Macaca mulatta: one gene and its partners. The protein of the gene in region 1 purifies or fractionates together with the protein of each later gene. This does not show direct contact. Links are inferred from orthologs where the notes say so. Each region holds a gene or a part of one and is shown on either strand. Other genes may lie near its edges.

Region 1 (3,744 bases):
CGCCTCGGACTGGTTTGGTGAAGACGACCCTCCCCGCCCCACAGCTGGAGGGGTCCTGGTTGAAGGAGGACACACAGTCAGTGGGGGCAGCCAGGCTCTGGGAGCCCAGGAAGGCCAGGGCGGCGGCCTGATTGCTCTGCTCGCTGACCTCGGTCACATCTTCTAGGCTGTACTTGGTCCAGCGCTCGGGGTGTGCCACGTAGTCAGGGACCGGAGGCACCCTTGGGGAGGCGGGGCTCCGACGGGCCCCGCCCAGGCCTTCCACTGGAGACCGGCCTGAGGGCGCTAGGGGCTGCTTGAAGCCTCCATTGTCACTCATGCTTGTGTGGGCCACAGAGGATGGAGCCCTCCTGGCCGCTCCCTCCAGGCAGTCAAAGATGTCACGGCTGCGCTGGGAGAAGGTGGAGCTCATGCCTCTCAGATGGAATGGCTGCACCGTGGCCGGGAGGAGGCCTGACGGGGGTGAGGGTGGTTCATCAGGACCTGAATCCTCCTCCCCAGGCAGCCCCAGCGGGGACAGTGCTTCCACTTCAGCACCACCGGGCAAGCTGAGGTCAGAGTCCGAGTCGCTGAGGGAGACTGTGTCGGAAGGCAGCGTGTCATACTCCGTCCCGTGCTCGCCCTCCACGCTGGGGGACGGCTCACCTGTCCCTGCATCAGCCATGGGTCCCCAGGGCCACGCCACACCTAAACCAAAACGGCCCAGGAAGTTTGTCTCTCAGGAGGAAAAGTATTGAGAATGAGTTCCCCCTGCAGATCCACTGCCCCTGGACAAGTAGAGAATCAACTGACAGAACCGTCCCACACAGGGTGGAGTCCCGCCTCCCCCTCCAAGCCCTCCTCTCACCTCTCTTGGCTGCTGGGTGCCAGTGGTTGACACTGGAGTGTGACTGGACAGCCAAGTGGGCCAGGTGAATGGAGCCCTGCTGAAGGTCCTCAGTGGCACAGGCGTGGTCGTCTCAGGCCTGGGAGTGCCCCAGCATTGCCGCTGTTCAGCTGCTCAACTGCAGGTGGGTGGGGTGGGGGAGAGGACCAACCTCAGACCAGAGCACACATGTGTGAAACAGGTTGTGTCCAGTGCCAGCACATTGTCACCCCTTAAGGTGCCAGGCAGGACCGACCTAAGTCTGGGTTTTCAGAGCCCCTGACAGGCTAGGACTCAGGGTAGGGACTTTTGACTCGTTACCTCATTTAATCGTGCCAACCCTCTGCAGGCAAGCTTGGAGCTACTAAGCGATTTTAGTAGTAAGCAGCCACCCAGGGCTTAAACCCAGGGCCGAGATCAGGCAGGAAGGCCACTTATAAGCTGCTTGCTGTGCAGGGTGAGCAGTTGGTACTCCACAAAGAGCCGGCACCTTCCTGATCCATGGGGAAAAGGTTTGCTCCTATTTGCTGGAAGATCCCCGGGAGCTCCCAAGGAATCTGCAGCCAAGGCCCTGGCATCTGAGGGTCAAGCTCTCAGGAAAGTGGGGTGTCGACCATCACCTTGAGCAGCCCTGCTAGGCAGAAGCAAATCCCCGCAGCTCCTGGAGCGACCTCCAGTGACCTTCCTCCTGTAACACTCAGCACATACCTTGCCTTTCCAGCTGGGCAGACAAATGCTGCCTCCTGTACCCATTTAGCGGTAGAGTGACTAGGTGCCTCAGAGCTTGCGTTTCCAAGCAAAAAAGACGGCCCATCCACACCCTTCTTCACTGTCCTCGGCCATCCATCCACTGACTCCTCTCCTGCTACCAACACTCCTTGCCCGCCCAGAGTGACCTGTGTCTTGTGCACCCAACAAGGATGGGGTCAGGGGTACTATTAGGGACTGTCAGTGCCCTCCACCAGGTCAAACACAGGAAGGACCTCAATTCCTCTGAGGCCTGACTCTCCTCAGTGAAGAAGCCACCCCAGGGAAAGGCGATACCCAGTACCCCCCACACTGATGACCGTTTTAAAACTGGCAGGAATGGGGCGGGGGCCATAATTTGCCCAAGTCACACAGTATGTTGCAGACGAAGCTGGAGTTCCAACCAGACCCCTGCTTCCCAGATTCGCACTCCCGTCCTCTGCAGCAGAACGCCGCCGCGGCCAGAAGCAGCCTGGTCAGCGGGGCACTCCGAGGGGGAGCGGGGATCGGGCTGCAAGACAGGGACTCCAGGAGTCCGTTCTCGGGGTTCTCGGCGAGATCCGGCAATGAGTGGAAGGGCAGAGTTGACTCCTTCATGTCTGGAGACTGAAGGAAGCCGTCTGTTTCTCCACATGAATGCAGAGCCGGGCCTTTCTCCACTCTATGTGCCAGCAAGACCTCCCCGCCAGGGAAAGAACGAACTCTCAGTGCCAAGTTGGCTCTCGGTGCGAAGTCGGGCTGGACAGGCCCGGGTCCGGGCCTCAAGAGGATGCTGTGGGTGCCAAGGGCCCGGTCGCAAGGTACGGGGGTTGGCAAGCACAGCGGGGCCTCCGAGCTCAATTTAAAGCTGCGCTCGGTGACCTTCCGGAGGCTCGGCCGGCCACCGTGGCCCGTCCTCCATCAGCACAAACCTACCGGCTCAAGGATGCACGGCAATCTCCATCTTGGTCGGCGCCGCACGTCCGCGCGGCGCGCTCAGCCCTCTGGGAAACCGAGTGCTCTGCCGGCGGAGCGCCGCGGTTTCCGCACCTGCAGAACTACAACTCCCACAAGGCACTGGGCCTCCACTCCCGACGCCTGTCGGGATGTGTAGCCCTGTGCGCATGCGCCCGCCCCTCTACGCCCCGGCCCTTGGGTCCGGCTCGGAAGCGGCCCCGGAAACGACGGCATTTGTTGGGGAACCAAGACCGGAATTGACCAAGAAGAACAGGAAGAGGAGGGGCCAGGCCTGCAATTCCCAGAATGCTCGACGGCTAACCGACAACCGGGCCGGCTTCCCGTGGTCCCAGCGCCACCTGCCGGAAACCGCGAGAACAGCGGCCGCCCCAGGCAGGAAGTGCATCATCTCGTATGGAGAACGAATGCCGTTCCCAGCACTTCCGGTCATGACCGGAAGCGGTAACTGTCGCTCCTCCTGGGCTTCGTCAATGCAGCGAGGCGGGGCTCCCCGGGATCCCACGGTCCCGCTCAGGCCAGACGCAGAGGCGGTCCCAGCCCGAGATGAAGACGCGGGGTCGTGGCCGCTGGGTCACGGGTGAAGGGGGCTTTACCCGCTGGTTGGGCCGACGCTTTCCCACCCCTAGGGGTTTACTGGGCCCTGGCCGCAAACTTGTGGGGCGTCGTCCTCACACAATTGCCCGGCCACCCTGACACCTCTGGGCCCTCAGCTCTGGTGCACTGGTCCGGGCTCCGGGAGGCACTGAGACGTCCCCCGAGGGCTCTGCGGGGAAGCTGGGGCCAGGTCCCTGGTCCTTCCGGGCAGGATGGAGGCCGCTGAATGCTCAAGCTTCCAAGTCAGCGTGGCTGGGTGGGCGGCAGCCGGGAAGGTTTGGCCTCCGCCGTGCTTGGGAGCCTGTCCAGGGGGCAGGTCAGATGCCCGCCCTGAAAGGGAAGACGAGGGCCCAGGTTCTCCCTTCGACAAGCCGCGTCTCCCTTGGCCACTGGCCCTGTTGGCACCTTGTGCTCCTTCTCAGCTGGGAGAGTTCATGCCCCACACAGTCAAGGAATCTGAGTTCCCCGTGGCTGCTAGACCTCTGGTCCCTCTGAAAGGCTCGAGAGAGAACTCCCCCAGGGCCTGCTGTCCTGGCATCCGCTGGGAAATAGGATTCAAGGACCTGCTGTGGCTCAGCCTA
Region 2 (3,644 bases), on another chromosome or scaffold:
CAGGGTCTCACTCTGTCGTCCAGGCCGGAGTGGAGTGGCGTGATCTCGGCTCACTGCAACCTCCACCTCCCAGGATCGAGCGATTCTCCCGCCTCAGCCTCCTGAGTAGCTGGAATTACAGGTGTGCACCACCATTGCCCCACTAATTTTTGTATTTTTAGTAGAGACAGGGTTTCACCATGTTCACCAGGCTGGTCTCAAACTCCCGACCTCAGGTGATCCACCTGCCTCAGCCTCCCAAAGTGGCTGGGATTACAGGCATAAGCCACTACCCTGGCTCATCCACATAAACTCTGAATCTCAAAGTAATTTAAAACGACATCTGAAAAAAAAAAGTCAGTTTTTCTTGAAGGAAAGATTGACTAACACAGCCTGAATTCAACGAGTTTTTTTAAAAAATAAAACAATTGTCGGGCCAGGTGCAGGGGCTCACGCCTATAATCCCAGCACTTTGGGAAGCCGAGGTGGGTGAATCACGAGGTCAGGGGTTTGAGACCAGCTTGGCCAACATGGTGAAACCCTGTCTCTACTAAAAATACAATAAATTAGCTGGGCGCGGTGGCGGGCGCCTGTAATCCCAACTACTCAGGAGGCTGAGGCAGGAAAATCTCTTGAACCCGGGAGACAGAGGTTGCAGTGAGTCGAGATCGCGCCACCACACTCCAGCCCAGGTGACAGTGCAAGACTCCGTCTCAAAAAATAATAATAATAAAATAAAATATAAAATTTAAAATTTAAAAATAAATTGTCTCACTAAAATTTGCTGGTTATTTTCAAAATAAACTATTGAGCAGTTTTTTCCTCAAACTTTTTTGTTTGTGTGTGTGTATGTGTTTGTGTAAACATATACACATATATTCAAAATGTGAATGTAGTAAAAATCATCTTTCAATCATTTTTTCCTAAAGATTCTAAACATTAAGTTCTTACCCCCTTCTCTGTGCATCAACCCAGGCCTGATCTCTGTTATCTTTTTCAGGATCATACAGTAATTCGTCATTTGTTGGAATCTTGTGTTGTTTCTTCTTTTTTTTCTTGGTCACCTGTACTAATTTTGAAAATGTTAGGATATGGCTAAGAATCATGTGTCAAGTTCACACTTCTTTAAATGAATAGTCTCATTTCCCAAGCTACACATTTATTTTTATTTTCCCTAAAAAGTTTTAAAAGGGACGGACGCAGTGGCTCACACCTATAATCCTAGCACTTTGGGAGGCCAAGGTGGGTGCATCACCTGACGTCATGAGTTCGAGACCAGCCTGGACAACATAGCAAAACCCTGTCTCTACTAAAAGTACAAAATTAGGGCCAGGGGCGGTGGCTCACGCCTGTAATCCCAGCACTTTGGGACACCAAGGCGGGCAGATCACCTGAGGTCAGGAGTCTGAGACCAGCCTGGCCAACATGGTGAAACCTGTCTCTACTAAAAATACAAAAATTAGCTGGGTATGGTAGCGGGCACCTGTAATCCCAGCTACTTGGAGGCCTGAAGCAGAAAAATTGCTTGAACCCAGGAGGCAGAGGTTGCAGTGAGCCGAGATCATGCCACTGCACTTCAGCCTGGGTGACAAGAGCGAGACTCTGTCTCAACAAAAAAGAAAAAAAATAAAATAAAATATAAAATTAGCCAGGCCTGGTGGCAGGCACCTATAATCCTAGCTACTTGGGAGGCTGACACAGGAGAATCGCTTGAATCTGGGTAGGGGGTCAGAGGTTGCAGTGAGCTGAAATCGTGCCACTTCACTCCAACCTCTGCAAAAGAGCGAAAACTCTGTCTCCAAAAAAAAAACAAGTTAAGGCCGGGCGCGGTGGCTCAAGCCTGTAATCCCAGCACTTTGGGAGGCCGAGACGGGCGGATCACAAGGTCAGGAGATCGAGACCATCCTGGCTGACACGGTGAAACCCCGTCTCTACTAAAAAATACAAAAAACTAGCCGGGCGAGGTGGCGGGCGCCTGTAATCCCAGCTACTCGGGAGGCTGAGGCAGGAGAATGGCGGGAACCCGGGAGGCGGAGCTTGCAGTGAGCTGAGATCCGGCCACTGCACTCCAGCCTGGGCGGCAGAGCCAGACTCCGTCTCAAAAAAAAAAAAAAAAAAACAAGTTAAAAAAGGCCAGAGGCCAGGCGCAGTGCCTCATGCCTGTAATCCCAGCACTATGGGAGGCCAAGGGGGGAAGATCAACTGAGGTTGGGAGTTTGAGACCAGCCTGACCAACATGAAGAAACCCTGTCTCTACTAAAACTACAAAATTAGCCGGGCATGGTGGAGCATGCCTGTAATCCCAGCTACTCAGGAGGCTGAGGCAGGAGAATCACTTGAACTCAGGAGGTGGAGGTTGCGGTAAGCCGAGATTGTGCCATTGCACTCCAGCCTGGGCAACAAAAACGAAACTCTGTCTCAAAAAAAAAAAGTTAAAAAAACCCTTCATCTAAACAAGTGCTTGTCCAGGTGGGGTGCGGTAGTTCACACCTATAATTCTAGAGCTTTGAGGGGCTGAGACAAGAGGATCACTTGAGGCCAGGAGTTCAAAACCAGCCTGGCCAGCATAATGAGACCCCATCTCTACACAAATAAAAATTAAAAATTAGCCAGGCACACCTGTAGTCCTAGCACACCTGTAGTCCTAGCTACTAGGGAAGCTGAACTGGGAGGACGGCTTGAGCCTAGGAGTCTGAGGATGTAGTAAGCTATAATTGCACCACTGCACTGCTGGAGCCTCGGTGACAGAGTGAGACCTATCTCTAAAAAAGTAAAAAATTCAACAAAAATGTAAAAAATAAAGTTCTTCTCCAACTAATAAGGCAATAAAATGACAAAGGAGGCAAAAATTGTTTATTTACCCAAAACTGGTATTTCAAGGACTAAGTTCAAACAATGAGAATTCAGAAACTCAAAAGAGCCACTCAAAACAAGCCAAGAATATAAATTATTTTTGATGTATGAATTCTCCATGCATTCTCACATATAAAATGCTACTAAAATTAGAACAAAAATATTTCAAAAGTAAATTGAAAAAAAAAAAAACACAGTATGAGGTCCGACACAGTGGCTCACATCTGTAATCCCAGCATTTTGGGAGGATCGCTTGAAGCCAGGAATTCGACACCAGCCTAAGTAACAAAGCAAGACCCCATCTCTACAAAAAAAAAAAAAAAAAAAAAAAAAACAAAAAAAACACTATGGCCATCTACATACACTAGACTTTTTGAATATATTCTAGCAGGCAGGGAGTGCTGGCTCATGCCTGTAATCCCAGCACTTTGGGAGGCCAAAGTGGGCAGACAACCTGAGATCAGGAGTTTCAAACCACCATGGCCAACATGGCGAAACCCTGTCTCTTCTAAAAATACAAAAAGTAACCAGGTACAGTAGTGTGCGCCTGTAGTCCCAACTACCAGGGAGGCTGAGGCACCAGAATCGCTTGAACCCAGGAGGCAGAGGCTATAGTGAGCGAAGACTGTGTCACCACACTCCAGCCTGGGTGACAGAGTGGCACTCTGCCTAAAAAATAAATAAACAAGGCTGGGCGCGGTTGGCTCACGCCTATAATCCCAGCACTTCGGAGGCCGAGGCGGGCAGATCACAAGGTCAGGAGATCGAGACCATTCTGGCTAACATGATGAAACCCCGTCTCTACTAAATAT
Region 3 (3,644 bases), on another chromosome or scaffold:
GGCTCAGGCCTGTAATCCCAGCACTCTCGGAGGCCGTGGCGGTGGATCACGAGGTCGGGAGACCAAGACCATCCTGGCTAACACAGTGAAACCCCGTCTCTACTAAAAATACAAAAAAACTAGCCGGGCTTGATTACCCAGGCGTGGTGGCGGCGCCTGTAGTCCCAGCTGCTCAGGAGGCTGAGGCAGGAGAATGGCATGAACCCAGGAGGCAGAGCTTGCAGTGAGCTGAGATCGCGCCACTGCACTCCAGCCTGGGTGACAGAGCGAGACGCTGTCTCAAAAAAAAAAAAAAAAAATTGGGCCAGGCGCAGTGGCTCACGCCTGTAATCCCAGCATTTTGGGAGGCCGAGGTGGGTGGATCACTTGAGGTGTGGTGTTCAAGATCAGCCTGGCCAACATAGAGAAACCCCGTCTCTACTAAAAACACAAAAATTAACCAGGCGTGGTGGCACATGCCTGTAGTCCCAGCTACTCAGAAGGCTGAGGCAAGAGGATCGCTTGAACCCGGGAGGCAGAGGTTGCAGTGAGCCAAGATGGTGCCATTGCACTTCAGACTGGGTGACAAAGTGGGACTTCATCTCAAAAAAAAAAAAAGGCTGGGCACAGGGGCTCACGCCTGTAATCCCAGCACTTTGGGAGGCCAAGGCGGGAGGATCACCTGTGGTCAGGAGTTTGAGACCAGCCCAGCCAACATGGGGAAACCCCATCTCTACTAAAAATACAAAAATTGGCTGGGCGTGGAGGCACACACCCGGTATTCCCGGCTACACAGGAGGCTGAGGCAGGAGAATCACTTGAACCCAGGAGGCAGAGGTTGCAGTGAGCCAAGATTGCGCCCCTGTACTCCAGTCTGGGCGACAGAGCAAGACTCTATCTCAAAAAAAAAAAAAAAAAAAAATTTGTATAGAAGCCACCTGCATAGGCCAGGCGCAGTGGCTCACGCCTGTAATCCCAGCACTTTAGGAGGCGGAGGCAGGTGGATCACAAGGTCAGGAGATGGAGACCATCCTGGCTAACTCGGTGAAACCCCACTTCTACTAAAAATACAAAAAGAAATTAGCCGGGCGAGGTGGTGGGCGCCTGTAGTCCCAGCTACTGGGGAGGCTGAGACGAGAATGGCGTGAACCTGGGAGGCGGAGCTTGCAGTGAGCTGAGATCACGCCACTGCACTCCAGCCTGGGCGACAGAGCAAGACTCCATCTCAAAGACAACAACCACAACCACAAAAAACAAAACAAAAAAAAAGAAGCCACCTGCACAGATTGGCTTCAGAACAGCCCCCGACCAGCACTTGTTCTGGGCCCAGTTCAACAGCAGCATCTACTGCACGCTTCCAGTGACAAGAGAAACCACAGAAAGAAAAATCAACAAACTGCCCACAAAAGCTCTATCCTAGCAGGAATCCCTGGATGGAGTCAGGTTCCCTGGCAGGGACACCGCCCGCCATCATCTGGCCTGAGCTGACGGCACACGCTGCCTTGGGGGCAGGAGACGCAGCCTTGTCAGCAGCAGGGAGGAGTCCAATCAACGTGGGGCTCCGATGCCTTCTCAGGAGAGAAAGTGAGTAACACCCACAAAGGGTGTGCACATGCCAGCTGCCGGCTCCGCTCTTCACAGAGACCATCTCCAGAGCCCCAGGACACAGGCTTTGAGCTACTATGGTTCTCACCCTGCAGATGAGGGAAGCCTGGACCACAGAGTGACTGCCCAATGCATCCAAAATCACACACTGGAAAAAGGCAGGAGTGAGGGCTCAACCCCAACATCCCTTCTGGGATGGGAACTCGCCCACCACAGTATCCCTCCCCCATGGGGGTCCAAGGGCAGAGGCAACGCAACCTGAGAAAAGGCCTGAAAAATGTCCCTGGTTCCTTATCCACTCTCACCAAAAGCCTGAGCCAGGAGCAGGAAAGCTGCTGAGAGGAGGGGCCCCAAGGAGGGAGAAAGCAGCACCTCCGAGGGAGGGGCCAGAGACCCCAGGAGCCCCTGCTGGTGGAAGGCACCTCCGAGGGAGGCTCACCTTTCCGAAGAACCCGCTTCTTTGCGCGAATGTCTGTTTCCAGCTCTGCTGCTCTGATGTAAATCCTGACAGACTGTGGGAGATGACGGACAGCTTGGGCTACCACGGCCTTGGCTGTGTCCCCAGGCTGCAACCTGGCTGCTTCCAGCCAGACATCTTCACTCTGCGAGGCAAGAGATAAGATCAATAAGGCTCAGGGCAGGCTGGAAGCCACAACAGGGCAGCAGGCACAGATCTCTAGAGCAGATCCTCGGGCCCCAGATTTTACAAAAGCCAATCAGCTCAGCCTCTAACACACCTGCACCAGGAGTCACCCCCTTATAACACTCGCGGACATGGCTACCATATGTCTGAATGAAGAAAACATAATGGCTGGGTGCAGTGGCTCACGCCTGTAATCCCAGGACTTTGGGAGGCCAAGGCAGGTGGATCATGAGGTCAGGAGTTTGAGACCAGCCTGGCCAACAAGGCAAAACCCTGTCTCTACTGAAAATACAAAAATTAGCCAGGTGTGGTGGCACGTGCCTGCAATCCCAGGTACTCAGGTGGCTGAGGCAGGAGAATCGCTTTAACCTGGGAGGCAGAGGCTGCAGTGAGCCAAGATCATGCCATTGCACTCCAGCCTGGGCAACAGAGCGAGACTTAAAAAAAAAAAAAGAACACATAAAACACCACTTGGTTGGCCGGGCGCGGTGGCTCAAGCCTGTAATCCCAGCACTTTGGGAGGCCGAGACGGGCGGATCACTAGGTCAGGAGATCGAGACCATCCTGGCTAACAGGGTGAAACCCCGTCTCTACTAAAAAAATACAAAAAGCTAGCCGGGCGACGTGGCGGGCGCCTGTAGTCCCAGCTACTCGGGAGGCTGAGGCAGGAGAATGGCGTAAACCCGGGAGGCGGAGCTTGCAGTGAGCTGAGATCCGGCCACTGCACTCCAGCCCGGGGACAGAGCGAGACTCCGTCTCAAAAAAAAAAAAAACAAACACCACTTGGTGAAAAGAGCACGATTTGCCTGCAGGATAACTCCACGGACAAAGCGGAGACTGTGCAACTGCTTGGGTAGTTCTTTTTTGCTGTTGTTTTTTGAGATGATGTCTCACCCTATCCCCCAGGCTGGAGAGCAGTGGCATCATCTCAGCTCACTGCAACCTCCACCTCCCAATTAGCTGGGATTACAGGCACCTGTCACCACACCTGGCTAACTTTTGTATTTTTAGCAGAGACAGGGTTTTGCCATGTTGGCCAGGCTGGTCTCGAACTCCTGACCTCAGGTGATCCACCCGCCTCAGCCTCCCAAAGTGCTTGAGATTACAGGCGTGAGCCACCATGCTTAGCTGCCATTAGGTGGGTGAAGAGCTGACCAACTGAGCTCTTTATAATGAAGCTTAGCCTGCCATTAAACCGTGGTGGATTCAGGCGCGGTGGCAGGTGCCTGTGGTCCCAGCTACTCTGGAGGCTGAGACAGGACAATGGCATGAACCCGGGAGGTGGAGCCTGCAGTGAGCCAAGATCGTGCCACTGCACTCCAGCCTGGGTGACAGAGCGTGACTCTGTCTCAAAAAAAAAACAAAAAAACCAAAAAACAGTGGTGGATTAGCCTTCACTCCACGTGAAAACAAGCAG

The links.
Region 2: the proteins of TSSC4 (region 1) and EAPP purify together in Homo sapiens (affinity purification with mass spectrometry; 3 studies listed by BioGRID and IntAct, counting the BioPlex papers as one, with this or other methods). This does not show direct contact. The link is inferred for Macaca mulatta from reciprocal best matches to the Homo sapiens genes TSSC4 and EAPP.
Region 3: the proteins of TSSC4 (region 1) and PRPF6 purify together in Homo sapiens (affinity purification with mass spectrometry; 3 studies listed by BioGRID and IntAct, counting the BioPlex papers as one, with this or other methods). This does not show direct contact. The link is inferred for Macaca mulatta from reciprocal best matches to the Homo sapiens genes TSSC4 and PRPF6.

What each region holds. Positions count from the first base shown.
Region 1 is NC_133419.1:2,307,504-2,311,247, reverse strand, and holds the start of TSSC4 (U5 small nuclear ribonucleoprotein TSSC4), read right to left. Parts: upstream 2,576-3,744; 5' UTR 2,528-2,575; intron 1,497-2,527; exon of another isoform or gene 1,356-1,496; intron 1,005-1,355; 5' UTR 848-1,004; intron 688-847; 5' UTR 665-687; coding exon 1-664. UniProt on the Homo sapiens protein: Protein associated with the U5 snRNP, during its maturation and its post-splicing recycling and which is required for spliceosomal tri-snRNP complex assembly in the nucleus.
Region 2 is NC_133412.1:107,640,899-107,644,542, forward strand, and holds part of EAPP (E2F-associated phosphoprotein), read right to left. Parts: intron 3,098-3,644; exon of another isoform or gene 2,103-3,097; intron 1,793-2,102; exon of another isoform or gene 1,299-1,792; intron 1,049-1,298; coding exon 931-1,048; intron 1-930. UniProt on the Homo sapiens protein: May play an important role in the fine-tuning of both major E2F1 activities, the regulation of the cell-cycle and the induction of apoptosis. Promotes S-phase entry, and inhibits p14(ARP) expression.
Region 3 is NC_133415.1:116,888,225-116,891,868, reverse strand, and holds part of PRPF6 (pre-mRNA-processing factor 6), read right to left. Parts: intron 2,187-3,644; coding exon 2,024-2,186; intron 1-2,023. UniProt on the Homo sapiens protein: Involved in pre-mRNA splicing as component of the U4/U6-U5 tri-snRNP complex, one of the building blocks of the spliceosome.